Canis lupus familiaris: one gene and its partners. The protein of the gene in region 1 purifies or fractionates together with the protein of each later gene. This does not show direct contact. Links are inferred from orthologs where the notes say so. Each region holds a gene or a part of one and is shown on either strand. Other genes may lie near its edges.

Region 1 (4,544 bases):
TTTAATAATTCACTGTGCCCTATGTATTTTACTAATACGTAGACACGTTACATAATAATAAGTAGTCTGTGAAACTTTTTTGTTTTAGGCAAGGCATCTTTACATTTGTGATTATCATAAAAACTTAATTCAGAGTGTTCGAAACAGAAGAAAGAGAAAAGGGAGTGATGATGATGGAGGAGATTCACCTGTTCAAGATATCGATACGCCAGAGGTAAAGTTTCTGTATGTTAAATGTAAATCCTAAGTATTCCATTCTGAAACTTCTATTAAAAGATAGGAACAAATTTTAAAAATACTTAATGCGAAAAATCTGAAAATGAAAGCAAAATTAAATATAGCCAATTAATAGGCAGTTGTAGTTTGACTTATGTTTTCAATTCACAATGCTTATACCTCTATTGCCTTCTTTTTTTGCTCCCAGTTCTCAGTATTTACCTTCAAAAGATTGAAGTGCTCTATATATTTGTAGTTTTGATTATGTAAAAGAAGTAATGGAATGGAATTAATTAAATAATGTAATTTTTGTTACTTAATTACATTTTTGTTGTACCAAAATTGAAATGCTATTATGCATATCAAAGATAACAATTTAAAAATTGCATGAACTAATTCTTACATGTTTATTTTTTCTAGGTTGATTTATACCAATTACAAGTAAATACACTTCGGAGATACAAAAGACACTTCAAACTATCAACCAGACCAGGACTTAATAAAGCACAACTTGTTGAGGTATTTATGAAGTTTTAAATGAGCCTGTTTATATAAAAAAGTTATTAAAGGCTAATGAAATTGTTAATGTAGTACGTATAACAATACAGCTCAGTTAGAAAGATCAGTTAATAAAAAATCTATTGTGGAAGAATCTAGTTTCCTAGAAATGTTTGTCTGTCTCTTAAATTGCTTTATGTAACAACCACTCAGTGGATTGTATGTAGCTTTCTAAATATCTTTTAATACTGGCTTTCAGAAATAGCGGGTAATAATTTTTAAATTCTCATTCTAGAAATCTGTTGGTTTTAAAATTCCACTCAGGAAGCATTTTTTGAATACCTTATTGAGGCATAATAAAAGAAATTGATAAGCTTTGTTGTCTTTATTATAAATTTTTTGAGTTTTTGATGGATTAGGTCTACAGATTAGCCCATAAATAGTATTCCTATAACTTGTTGATTTAACGATTTCAGAATTTGTCTTTGGTGATGTTAGCTTGTTTTATTAGAGGCATCTATGCCTTCACATCTGGAAGATGCAAAGTTTTTTTTTTTTTTTTAAGAGTTTATTTATTTACTTGAGAGAGATCTGAGAGAGAGAGCATGAGCAGGGAGAAGAGCAAAGGGAGGAGACACAGACTTCCTGCTGAGCCGGGAGCCTGATGGCAGCTCAGTGAGAGGGACTCGGGACTCTGGTATCATGACCTGAGCTGAAGGGATACATTTCATTAGCTCCACCACATAGGCACCCCAGATGCAAAGACTTTTATCCAAGGTTTTATTTAGTTTGCTTTGATATAAAACTTTTAGTCTTTTTGTAAATTTTGAAATATGTGTGTTTTCAGGAGTTAATAAAGAACCAAGAAATCTGTGAATCAAGGCATTTACAGATTTATGTATTTGTACTTTAATCATTTTAAGTAAAAATACTTAATCTACTCAACAGAATAGAAATGTAAATATATAAGTCAGTTTTCTCATATTTTTCAGCTTGTGTTTAGTAATGCAGTGTTTTTTAAAATGCGCATATCGAATAAGGTAAAAGATACAGAAGGTACAATTCTTTGGCAGAATGCTTTTTTAACATCGTTAAGATATAATATACTGACTTTTTAGCCAGAATTTCCTCTTTCCTTCTTGCCCAAGCAACAAAAATTCAGTTTTTCTTTAAATTTGATTTAAAAAATATAGCCCTTTTTGGATTGTATAGTATATTAATAAAAGATAAACATGGGTATTTACTGTGATGAAACTGTATCTATATATATACAGATACTAATCAAGTGGAAGGTACCTTTGTTTTGGGACAAATGTGAACTCAAAAACTGATTATTTTAAATGTTACATATGAAGTACAATTGACTCTTGAACAATGCATTTTTGACTAGGGGCATAGTCAAAAATCTGCATATAACTTTTGACTCCCCAAAAACTTAACTACTTACTCATAGCCTATTATTGATTGGAAGCTTTTTTAATAACATAGTCTGTTAGCATATTTTATATGTCATATGTGTTATAGTTATTCTTACTGTAATCTCAATAAAGTAGGCTAAGGAAAAGAAAATGTTAAGAAAATCGTATGAAAGAGAAAATACATCTACAATACTGTATTTATTGAAAAAAAAGTGTGTAAGTGGACCCTCACAGTTCAAACCTGTGTTGTACAGGGTCAGTAATACATATTTTTTAAGTATACTAGTCACACCTGAAATATTTGATAATCTGATATTTAAAAAGTTATATTATTTCTAGAGTTACTTTCTTCTTTAGAAATGAGAAAAAAATCCAAATGGCCATGAATGTTAATAGTTCACTTAGGAATGATTCCAGAGTTAGGTAACTGTCTTCCTTAAATCTCTTAATTATCGTATGAATAACATTTTCATTAAGACTTTTTTTGTCTTTACATTCTAGATAGGCATATCAATACCCCTGTTTAGTCCATTGTACTTCTCTTGGTTTTGTAGTGTTAGATTAGCATAAAGAAAAAGCCAGAAAGCAGATAAACATTCTTCAGCGAATGTCTCTCTTTCCTCGCATTTTCTATCCATATTTATTCAGACAAACTTTCAAGGAACCTTAACAGAGAGTACTGCCAATGAATGAATGAATATAAATTGTAGCAAATATATTTGTAAGATATTCTATGGTTTGTTTCTACAGTACCAACAGTTTTTCAACTTAAATATTTATTTATCCTTTTCCTGTGAGTAGGGTCTAGATTTTGTTTTATTTCATTCATATTTAAAGTTTTAAAATATTTACTTTTTAATATAGATTCTAGTTATAAAATTTAAATAAATAAAAGGAAATAACACATTCTAATGTCTTTTTAATTGAGTAGGTTGGAGGGTCCTGTGAAATCACCCTCTCTCTTGTTCGTAATATCTTAATTATATGCTTTTCATCTTGTTGGTATTTTGTAAATAGTTTATTATTTAAAGGAAATAGCTCTTATAGCACTTTTTCTTTTGATAAAAGTGTTTTTTACCTAGTATAATAACTGTTAATATCTATAATTTAATTTCAATTTCAATTTTTTGTTTGTTTGTTTTGTTTTTTTAGATAGTTGGTTGCCACTTTAGGTCTATTCCAGTGAATGAAAAAGACACCTTAACATATTTCATCTACTCAGTGAAGAATGACAAGAACAAATCAGATCTCAAGGTTGATAGTGGTGTTCACTAGGAGAGGTGGAATTGAGACTAAGACTTGGATGTTCAGATGTTAAGACTGTTTACTGTTTTTTCACATGTAGAAATGTTCCTTGTGTATTTTTTTACAGAGGATTTTCTCTGGTTTTATTTTCTTTGTTTCTGACTCTAATAATTAGTTGGAAACTCGTGTAAAATGAGCTTTCCTAGATTAAAAAAATATTTTAAATAAAGGTGATTACTATTATAGTTGTTTCAGTGTATTTATTTTGTGAAATTTGATTTTTTTAAAACTAGTTTTAATTAAGAGTTTAATGTAAAGATCACTTTGTTCCCACATTTTATTTTTAATTTTAAATTTCAAGAAATGAAGGTTAAGAGAAGTAGCAAATGCAGCACATTTGCTTTCTCTGGGACAATCTCATTTGGAATTAAAAATTAGCATTATTTTTTAAAGTGCTTTTTGGTGATAACAGGTTTGAAAAATAGACTTCCACTGGAGTGCAGTTTCTTTTTTATTTCCTTTTTTTAAAATCATTACTTGATAAAGTTAGGAAGATCAAAGGATTTAATTTATATGCCTACCTTCTTCCAACAAAGACTAATGTGCCAGCAAAGATAAACACAGTGCTGAAAGTTGAAATAATGTAGAATTAGTTTTACTTGTTTCTTTAAGTTTTATCTTAGAGAAAAGGTGTTTATACGGCATGAACATAGAAGTTCTGCAGCACCCTTTAATTTTCAGTCATGTCCTGTACTGTTTACATTGCAAAGTAAAACTAGTATGTTGAGAGATATAGAAATTTAATAAGATCTTTAAATTTTGGTTCAGATATAGCTCTGACTTGATTTATATTCTACTTTTGTTTACATTTCATCCTCTATCAGTTTTCTATTAAAGTTCTCATAATTGCAAATCAAATTTATAGCTTATGACATCAAAACAACAACAGCTTTAGTTAATATGCTTGATCATGGTGCAGATTTTAGGCTGAAAATGGATCAGAACATTAATGTAGCTCAAGATTTCTCTCAAAGGTTGATATTTGGGCCTGATAATTCTTTACCATGGGAGGCTGTCCTGTGTGTTGTAGTTTTAGCAGCATCATTGCAGTCCACAGTAGAGCACTCTGAAGGTGTGACAAACAAAACTATCACTAAATGCTGCCAG
Region 2 (4,004 bases), on another chromosome or scaffold:
GTATCCTGTCGAGCTCAAGGCTGGAAAGTTCACCTCTGTGCCGCTCAGTTACTACAGCTGGTAAGTAGAGTTCTAGCAGTTATGTCCTGCTGAAGAGGGGAACAGATGCTGGAGGCATCTCAGTTCTAGAGTGTTCCCTTTTGAGTAATTCTGAAGCATGACCAATTAACGTGGGTCATGCAGAATTTATATGTATAATTTATGATATAATATCATAATTATTATATCTATCCCATAGATACAATCCAAACATATCTTAGTCTGGTACCCAGAACCAAAGTACATTGAACAATAAGACCTACAGTTAAGGTTCAATATTTTGTATTGCTGTGAATCTAAAACAGAGAGACTCAAATGGCCTAACTGTAAACCCTTGCTCCCCACCATACTCCTTATCACAGGGACCAGGCTCAACTCCCACTGCTTCTTGATTATTGGGCTTTAGGTCCCTGCCAGTTTACAATATTATTCAAATAAACTGTCACATTCCCATGGTAACCAGGGGACACCTCTCCCTCCCAATACTACAAAACCTGCCTCCTATAGCCCCTGCTTGTTCACTCTGTTCCTGAGTGCAGCCCCTGCATGGCCTTGCGTGCTGTGTGGTGTCCTCCTCCCCTGGGCTGTGACTATATTGACTAGTACACTGCTATTGATCTCATGTGTCCAGTGTTGGGGGGTGTTTCTGTTTCCATAATCCTAGGGCAGGAATCCTTCCCTCACCATGGAGGTGAAGGGGGAGCAATCAAAACAACAACCTCATGAAGTTTTTCCATCTTTGGAGTAGCAGTGATCTGAAGAACATTGTTATGAGTATCTAAGAAAAAAAAAGTAGTGCCATGGCTACTTATTGTACCTTGGAAAAAGCATGTTTCTATGAAACCTTTAGACTTATTTTTTTAGAGCAGTTATAAATTCAGGGAAGTATTTAAAAGTTATCCTTGAAGATGGACCCTATATTATGACAGATTGTTCTATTAATCGTTGTTGATAATTTCCCTTGCTGTACATTAATGCCCTAGTCCTCAGGAGAAGGGATTCTATCACCCAAACAGCCCTCATACCAGTTTACAGGAGTGATTCAACATGGGTGCATTTGCCTGAGGTTAGCAAGGAAGAGTATCTCTGAGGCCATCATACCCTTCCTCTTATGTGTTGCAGACAAATCTAGAACATGATGTTTATGAAAGACTCACCAACCTACAAGAAGGGATTATCCCAAAGAAAAAAGCAGCAACTGATGATGATCTACACCGAATAAATGAACTGATACAGGTTTGACTTAGCCGTTTTCCCTCTGATCATCCAGTTTATGGGATTGTCACTGTACAGTCTTACTTCTCCCATTTCCCTCCCTTTCACTAACATCTTGAGTAAAAACCTACTATTTGGGATGCCTGGGTGGCTCAGTCGGTTGAACATCTAATTCTTGGTTTTGGCTCAGGTCACAATCTCAGGTCATGGGATCGAGCCCTGCATTGGGCTCCCATGCATTGGGCAGGGAGTCTGCTTAAAATTCTCTCCCTCTCCCTCTGTTCCTCCCACACACTCACCCACCCCCTAGCTCATGCACACTTGCTCTCTAAAATAAATACATCATTTAAAAGAAAAAACAAACTACTTTAGCTTGCATTACTAAGAAAGACCAAAACATTTTTTCCATGTGGAAGCCTCAAAATGGTGTCATTCTATAAGTGAAAAGTTTTTTTGAAAGCCTGGTGGTCTCCTGATTACTGATTGGTTATGATGTTTTATGTTGCAGGGAAATATGCAGCGGTGTAAACTTGTGATGGACCAGATCAGTGAGGCTAGAGACTCCATGCTTAAGGTTTTAGATCATAAAGACCGTGTCCTGAAGCTTCTAAACAAGAACGGGACTGTCAAGAAGGTGTCGAAATTGAAGCGAAAGGAAAAAGTCTAGACCCAGAAGAATCAAGACTTTGAAAACAGAATTTATGAAGAATGATGGTAGGGGTGGGGGGAGGGTTTTGGTTATTCTCAAAATGGAACATTGAAATAAAGGAAGTGTTCCTTAATTCACACAAGAAAGCAGAGGGACCCAGTGGCACAAACGGATCAGAGCTGTTCTGGCGCAGTGAACTCCATTCTCTCTTTCAGGCGTATCCCTCTTAAACTCGCTGTGTCATAAATGACTCCTGATGCATCAGTGTCTGCCAGTTAGAATCAGTGACACAAATGAATGGCTGGTGGTTTTCAGCCTTCTGGTTTATAAACTGTATTTATCTGATGGATTCCTGCAGGACCCATACTGAGCCCGGACTGAAAGTATCCACTTGGACCATCTGTTATCTCTCTACACTGAACATCAAACCTCTTCCCCTCATCCCAGCCGGTTCTTACTCTGTCTGACCTTCAAATGCCTGAGCTGGCCTTTTACAGCAGTGCCATGGCATCGAGAGACTTGCCACATCTCACACTCTAGAGGGTTTGAACTATTAATTCTTGTCATTTTTTTTTAAAGAACCATTTCAAAGTGAAATTGTTATATCGTCTGTCCCACGTGTGTCAGAGTTGGGTTTTTGTGGAGGTTCAGAGCAGGCAACATCTGAAGTTGCTCTGAGATCCTTGTTCTGAAGTACGTTCTTGGTTATTTGTACTTCTGTAGCTGTGTGATGCTGTTAATTGTATGTACCGCACATCTCCAAATGTTAATAAAGGACTCAAAGAGGTTTTTGTACATGAGCAGTTTGCATCTTTTTTATAAAGCAAATCAGTGCTGTGCTGATCACCATGTGAGTGTATATCCTACTGTAATTTCTTACACATTGTTGAGAGTCTACTCTGCTAAAGTTTTGTTATTCCACATAAATGGGTTCCATTTATCCTGGTATTTTGAAGCTGTCACAATGGTTAAGTCTGTTGGCTCTTGGTTATCTTAAGTATAAAACTATTTTGTCCCATTGCAGCTATAAATTGGTCAAATTATAGGACAATTAAGGCTGCAGGAGTTGGGGTGGAGCTGCCACAGAGGGTGGAATTTCTTCACCAGGTTACACTTGCTTCTTCTGAGCTACCTAAATGGTATAGTCTAGGCTTGCTTCCTTTGAGTATAAGCAGGCATCCTTCTCCTTCTAGCTGAATGTTCTTCCTTAGACCTTGTGGTGCCAACTCTGCCTGGAGCTCTCCTCTTTGCTCTGACCTGAGTAGATTTAAGACAAGGAGTCTGTGCCAGTTCTGACCAGGTCTCAGGGACCAGCGCTCTTACTCACCTGAAACAGACTTCTGCCCTGTGTGCCCTAGGCTAGGAGGTCCTAGAAATAATCATGGCTGCTTCACTAGAATGTTTCACTGAGATATAGAGCCAACCTTAAAAGGTGTTATTGGTTGTTTTTGCTAAACACCAGTCTAGTGTGCTAGACTGTTAGAAGAATGTTCTTTTGCCTCCGTTTTTCCTGTGCACACTACTGCCCCAGTCATCTCATGTGGTGTGCTGGCTATGATTCAGGTACTTGGGATCCCACATTATTGACCTGTATTCTCTAAAAGTCACCGCAATTTAAACAAAATTTAGATAACCCTGGTCAAAGGAAGCTTTTCAATGTAGCTTAGAACAATAGCATTTTCAGTATTTCCTTGCCTTAAACAGAAGTTGGGAGAGTCTTGTCTGCATACACTGTGTTGTTTAAAAACAGCTTTATTGAGGATTAACCTACAATAAACTAAACATCTCAAAGTATATAGTATGATAAGATTCGATGCATATGCATGCCCATTTCACCATCACCAGTCAGGGCGTGGACATCTCCATCAGTCCCAGTGGTTTCTCCTTGTGCCTCTGATTTCTTCTCCTTGCCCCTACCTGCTTCCCCATCTTCAGATAAACATTATTCTGCTTTCTATCACTAGATTAGTTTGCATTGTTTGGAATTGTATGAGTGAAATCATACAATGTATTCTTTAAAGGAGAGACTGTGGTTTCTGTGACTCAGCATAATGGAAATTTATCCTGAGATGTATCCTTTTTTTAGAGTTCATTACTTTTT
Region 3 (4,726 bases), on another chromosome or scaffold:
GACCTACCAGCCACAATTCCTATAGTTCATCCATAAAGACAATATAAGGAACATGTGTTTTTCTCTAACCTCATTCTAAGCTTTCATGTTCCTTTAAAAAAATATTTTAATCTCCTATCTTTAGCAATTAAAATAGTTTATATTCCAATTTGGCATGGGACTACATAAATCCTACTTAATATATTCATCTTGCATCTAATTTTCTTACCTTATAAATTCATTTTAGTTCAGTTTTAGTGTATGGAACTTACTGGGTTCACAAATAAATTCTTGGAAATAACAGCCAATGTCCCTGTTCTTTTTAAATAATTATCAGTGAGATGTACACAATTCTCTAAGTGGTGTTTGAAATTTTTTTAAGCATTAGCCTCATTGTTTTATTTTTTAAGATTTTCTTCATTTATTAGAGAGAGAGAGAGAGAGAGAGAGGGCACAAGGAGGGGGAGGGACAGAAGGAGCGGGAGAAGCAGAGAGAGCAGGGAGCCCAACGTGGGACTTGATCCCAGGACCCCAGGATCATGACCTGTGCCGAAGGCAGATGCTTAACCCAGGTGCTCCATGTTTCAGTTCTGAGGAATAATCTGTGTATCAGAACAACCTTCATATGAAAAAGGCTGCAACGAAAAGTACTCAGAGCCCAAGCCACCAATGGGAGAGAATGAGGACTGTGCTCTTAATTCGCTAATAATTATTAGTGATGCATTGGATTAGTGATTGGTGGGGTGTTTTTTAAATGGGAAATGGCAAGAAATGGTGGGCTGACTATGAAATACTGAGCTGTGGCAGGAAAGGACCATAAATTGATCCTAAAACAGGCTGATTGTAAACATAACGATAGCAACAGCAACTGATAATATCACACTTCACAGATTCTAACAATCCTAAAACCTTTTGATCAGAATCTAATGGCAAACTGCCAATATGAAATTTAAAAATATATTTTATAGTACTTTGTAGTACTTTATTTTATAGTACTTTATAGATGATTACAGTTGTAGACGTTTTGAAAGTTAATGCACTAAATCATACTTCTTAAAATAAAGATTTTCTATTTAGAATCTCAGAACATATACAGTGCATTTTTATTAAAGTATAACATATGTGCATATTTTTAAATAAAGCATAACTTGGCCATCTTGAATATCTAAATATACCCCAACAGAGGTTGAATTGTGGCTTAGAGAAGCAGAAACATTTGTTCAATACTTACAACTCTCTGTACCTATTAATGTAAATTGGCTCAAATCATTCGTAGAAGTGAACAAGTTATTGAGAATTTACACAGGAGTAATTCAAGACACTACAAATGACACTCAAACACATCTTTTTATTATATACTAAATTTAAAAATACAAATCTTATTAAAAATGCTTATGAAACATTGTATACATAAGTACTGTCAAATACTATTGGATTATGACATTATGTACATTTGCTAAGGTTAATTAGAAACAGAACAAAGTATATAACTTTGCTGATAACGAGTTTCAGAAGTCAAATATTTCAACATTTGGCAACTGTGAAGTAGTGATCTGCACAGGAAGATGTTTGCAGAGGTAAAAGAGTAAGAAAACAAACGGAATAATGCAGATATTCCTGCCCTAAGTGTTAATAAGTAGCTCTCTTTCTCATCCTCTTCAGTCTCATTATAACAGAAATTAAAGTGCACAAGACCACCAGGAAAACTTGATTTGGTTGTACCCTAATATATACTACAGCCAATTGTGCTGCCATATTGAGGGTTTCAATTCTTTGTACTGTTCCTGAGGTTTTAGAAATTAATTTTGCATGTGGCTAAAGGAAGAGAGGTCAATACTTTCTAAATTGCACCAAGTGGCCTTATTAAAGTGTAGAAACACCAAAGATAAAAATATTAATTTGGGAATAGATTCAAGAAAATTATCCCTGTCTAGTTTGCCCTAGGAATAAAATTAAGATAAGAACCTAGTTTTACCTCTGGAAAATGCTTACTAAAAATCTGTTTCAAAAGATCAGACATGTACAGCAAGCACCACAATACTGTCAGTTACTATTCACCACTTATATACTGCATCATAAATACCAGGCATAAATACCTGCCCTCTAAAGTTCACAAGAAATACAGGTAGAAGCTTGTTATTACTTGATGCTAATTTTACTAATTAACATTAAGTATAATTTGTAAAAATAGGTCACCACCATACAATCAAGGAAGAGGAGAAAGAAAGCTGCTAGTCTACAAAAGTGCTCCCTTTAAGCTTTCAAACCCAATAGCTTAATTTTGGGTAAAACAAGATTGTAAAGAAAGGCCATCAGTTCTAAATTAGCTGATGATGCCATATATACATACTCACGTATATATGTTTAAATCTCAATTCTGATTTAACACTAATGTACTAGTACAAACCATTTATAAGAAACATTTTATCAGGCTTATTTACAAACACAGTAAATGACAAAGATGTGAAAAATCAAAGAAACTGCAGACAAATATAGCCATTTAGCAACAGAGTTCACTAAAGATAAGACAGATTTGCATAATGTTTTTAAAAAACAAAAAATTTAGTAAGAAACCTCTACCGTATATACCTATTGGTCATTGGACCTAAAAGGCAAATAAATGTAATGATCATGATTAAGTTTTTATTACTGTCTCATTGACATATCAATATGAAGTCTACTTAGAGTACTACCTACAAATACAGTCTCTCATGATTTGATGAGAATATTAAGTTATTGAATACATTTTTAACTCCCATGGCACATCACACTTGATAACACTAATAAGGTAGCTTTAGATAACACTTAAATCATGATTATGAATGTTTAATTGAATATTTTCCTTTCTGTAGCTGTGAAATGTAAAGCTTAGATTTGCTTCCATCAGGCCTCTTAAACCAAACTTCATCATGGTTAATTGTTGTAATTACAGCACTAAAAAGGGGGGGAAAAAAGGAATGAATGAATGAATTGCAGTACACCTCCACCACTCATTTTAGAGTATAAGCCATAAAATCAGAATAGCTGGACTGCAAGAGTGGATTCAGGTACATAATTGTCATTTACCACAATGCTGCACTACCAGCAGGGCACGCGGTCAAAAACACCAGAGTCGGCAACACTTAAGAGACAGTCTCCTTTCTTTCCTTAATAGAATTGGTCTTATTTACTCTTAGAACTATTAAATGCACACTGTTTCTACTACATTCCCACACCAACCCATCCCCCAAAACACACATTGGAGCCAAAAACACTAATTATATACTTTTACACCTCCAATTTATATCACCCCCAGCTGTAGGAAATATTCCAGTTTTTTAAATTATTTTTTTAAATGCTTTAGTTTTCCAGAGTATCCACTTATTTTAAGTTCTTATTTAAATTTCAGTTAGCTAACACATAGTGTAATATTGGTTTCAGGAATTGAATTTAGTGACTCATCATTTACGTATAACACCCAGTGTAGGAAATCTTAAAAATACCAATTCCTAATTGGTATTCGTAATTCCCGGTGTCAAACCATTTTTTGGTACTTACATGGATTCTTTTTGACACTACTTTATCTTTATGTAGAGATATTTTTAAAAATAGATTTGTGTTTAATCCTCTTGTACTATTTCATCTCTTTTTAAATCACATGCTAAGTAATCAGTAAAATGTCTTAAAAGCAATAAGATAAAGCAAAAGATCTAGGGGTATCACATAGAACCTAGGAATTAGCTCAGTGGGCTTCTATGAGGAAAATTACTATACACAATACTTCTAGTATCCTAAAACTTTACAGATGAAATTACAGTCCAAGTAAAACTACTGTATTTGGAAAATGAGTATTCTTCTTTAAATAGAAAACACTGCATTAACCATTCATACCTAGAAAAAGATACTTTCTTACTGAAGAAGGCTATCACTCAGAATTAAATCCTAAACTACTGAAGGAACAAAAGCAGTAATTAGCATTAATATTTTCCAAAGGCTACAACCAGTTAAAACTTAGAAGGCTATAGCGGCACTTGGTTGGTTCAGTCAGTGGAATATGGGACTCTTGATCTCAGGGCTGTGGATCTGAGCCCCATAATGGGTGTAGAGATTACTTAAAAAAATAAAATCTCTAAAAAAACACAAAAACTTAGAAGGCTATATAATTATGTAAACCTTATTTAAGCTTAGACAGATTGAGCCTTTTAAAAAGGCAGCTTTCAGTTTTCAAATTATACTGTAATTCCTGGGACTCTTAGGGTATTTTCGTTAATTTACATTCCTTTCCTACTCTAATTGATACATACTGTAACACATGCAAAAAAAGTTAACGATTAATATGTCCACCCAAAATGCCTAACAGGCTGGTTTAAAGATCATAATATTAAAATCCTAACAATTCATCATCTACTTTAAGAACAAATAGCACTACTTACCTGGCTAAATAATTCCAACATTTCTTCTTGTGTTAATGCTTGTGCTCAAGAACTTAATACGTGACATTAGTCTACAAATATTAACACTGGTATACACACATGCTAACCAAATCATATGCCAAGAGAAAAGGATCTTTAAGCAACTAATGAATGGTGTATTATGAATGCACTACAGAGGGGGCAAATATTTATTGACAACAGTGTTATAAACTATAATACTGAGCAAAACTGAATGATAATTTTTACCTTGTAGGACATTCATCTTTTTTATCAATACATATTGTTTGTCCACGTATATACCATTCACCATCATAATATAATCTTCCTTCTTCAGA

Evidence for each region.
Region 2: the proteins of SAP30 (region 1) and SAP130 purify together in Homo sapiens (affinity purification with mass spectrometry; 4 studies listed by BioGRID and IntAct, with this or other methods). This does not show direct contact. The link is inferred for Canis lupus familiaris from reciprocal best matches to the Homo sapiens genes SAP30 and SAP130.
Region 3: the proteins of SAP30 (region 1) and BRMS1L purify together in Homo sapiens (affinity purification with mass spectrometry; 4 studies listed by BioGRID and IntAct, with this or other methods). This does not show direct contact. The link is inferred for Canis lupus familiaris from reciprocal best matches to the Homo sapiens genes SAP30 and BRMS1L.

What each region holds. Positions count from the first base shown.
Region 1 is NC_049246.1:24,123,723-24,128,266, forward strand, and holds the end of SAP30 (histone deacetylase complex subunit SAP30), read left to right. Parts: intron 1-88; coding exon 89-214; intron 215-636; coding exon 637-735; intron 736-3,284; coding exon 3,285-3,407; 3' UTR 3,408-3,622; downstream 3,623-4,544. UniProt on the Homo sapiens protein: Involved in the functional recruitment of the Sin3-histone deacetylase complex (HDAC) to a specific subset of N-CoR corepressor complexes. Capable of transcription repression by N-CoR.
Region 2 is NC_049240.1:24,027,014-24,031,017, forward strand, and holds the end of SAP130 (histone deacetylase complex subunit SAP130), read left to right. Parts: coding exon 1-60; intron 61-1,161; coding exon 1,162-1,275; intron 1,276-1,762; coding exon 1,763-1,921; 3' UTR 1,922-2,703; downstream 2,704-4,004. UniProt on the Homo sapiens protein: Acts as a transcriptional repressor. May function in the assembly and/or enzymatic activity of the mSin3A corepressor complex or in mediating interactions between the complex and other regulatory complexes.
Region 3 is NC_049229.1:14,677,060-14,681,785, reverse strand, and holds the end of BRMS1L (breast cancer metastasis-suppressor 1-like protein), read right to left. Parts: coding exon 4,638-4,726; intron 2,914-4,637; coding exon 2,796-2,913; 3' UTR 1,308-2,795; downstream 1-1,307. UniProt on the Homo sapiens protein: Involved in the histone deacetylase (HDAC1)-dependent transcriptional repression activity. When overexpressed in lung cancer cell line that lacks p53/TP53 expression, inhibits cell growth.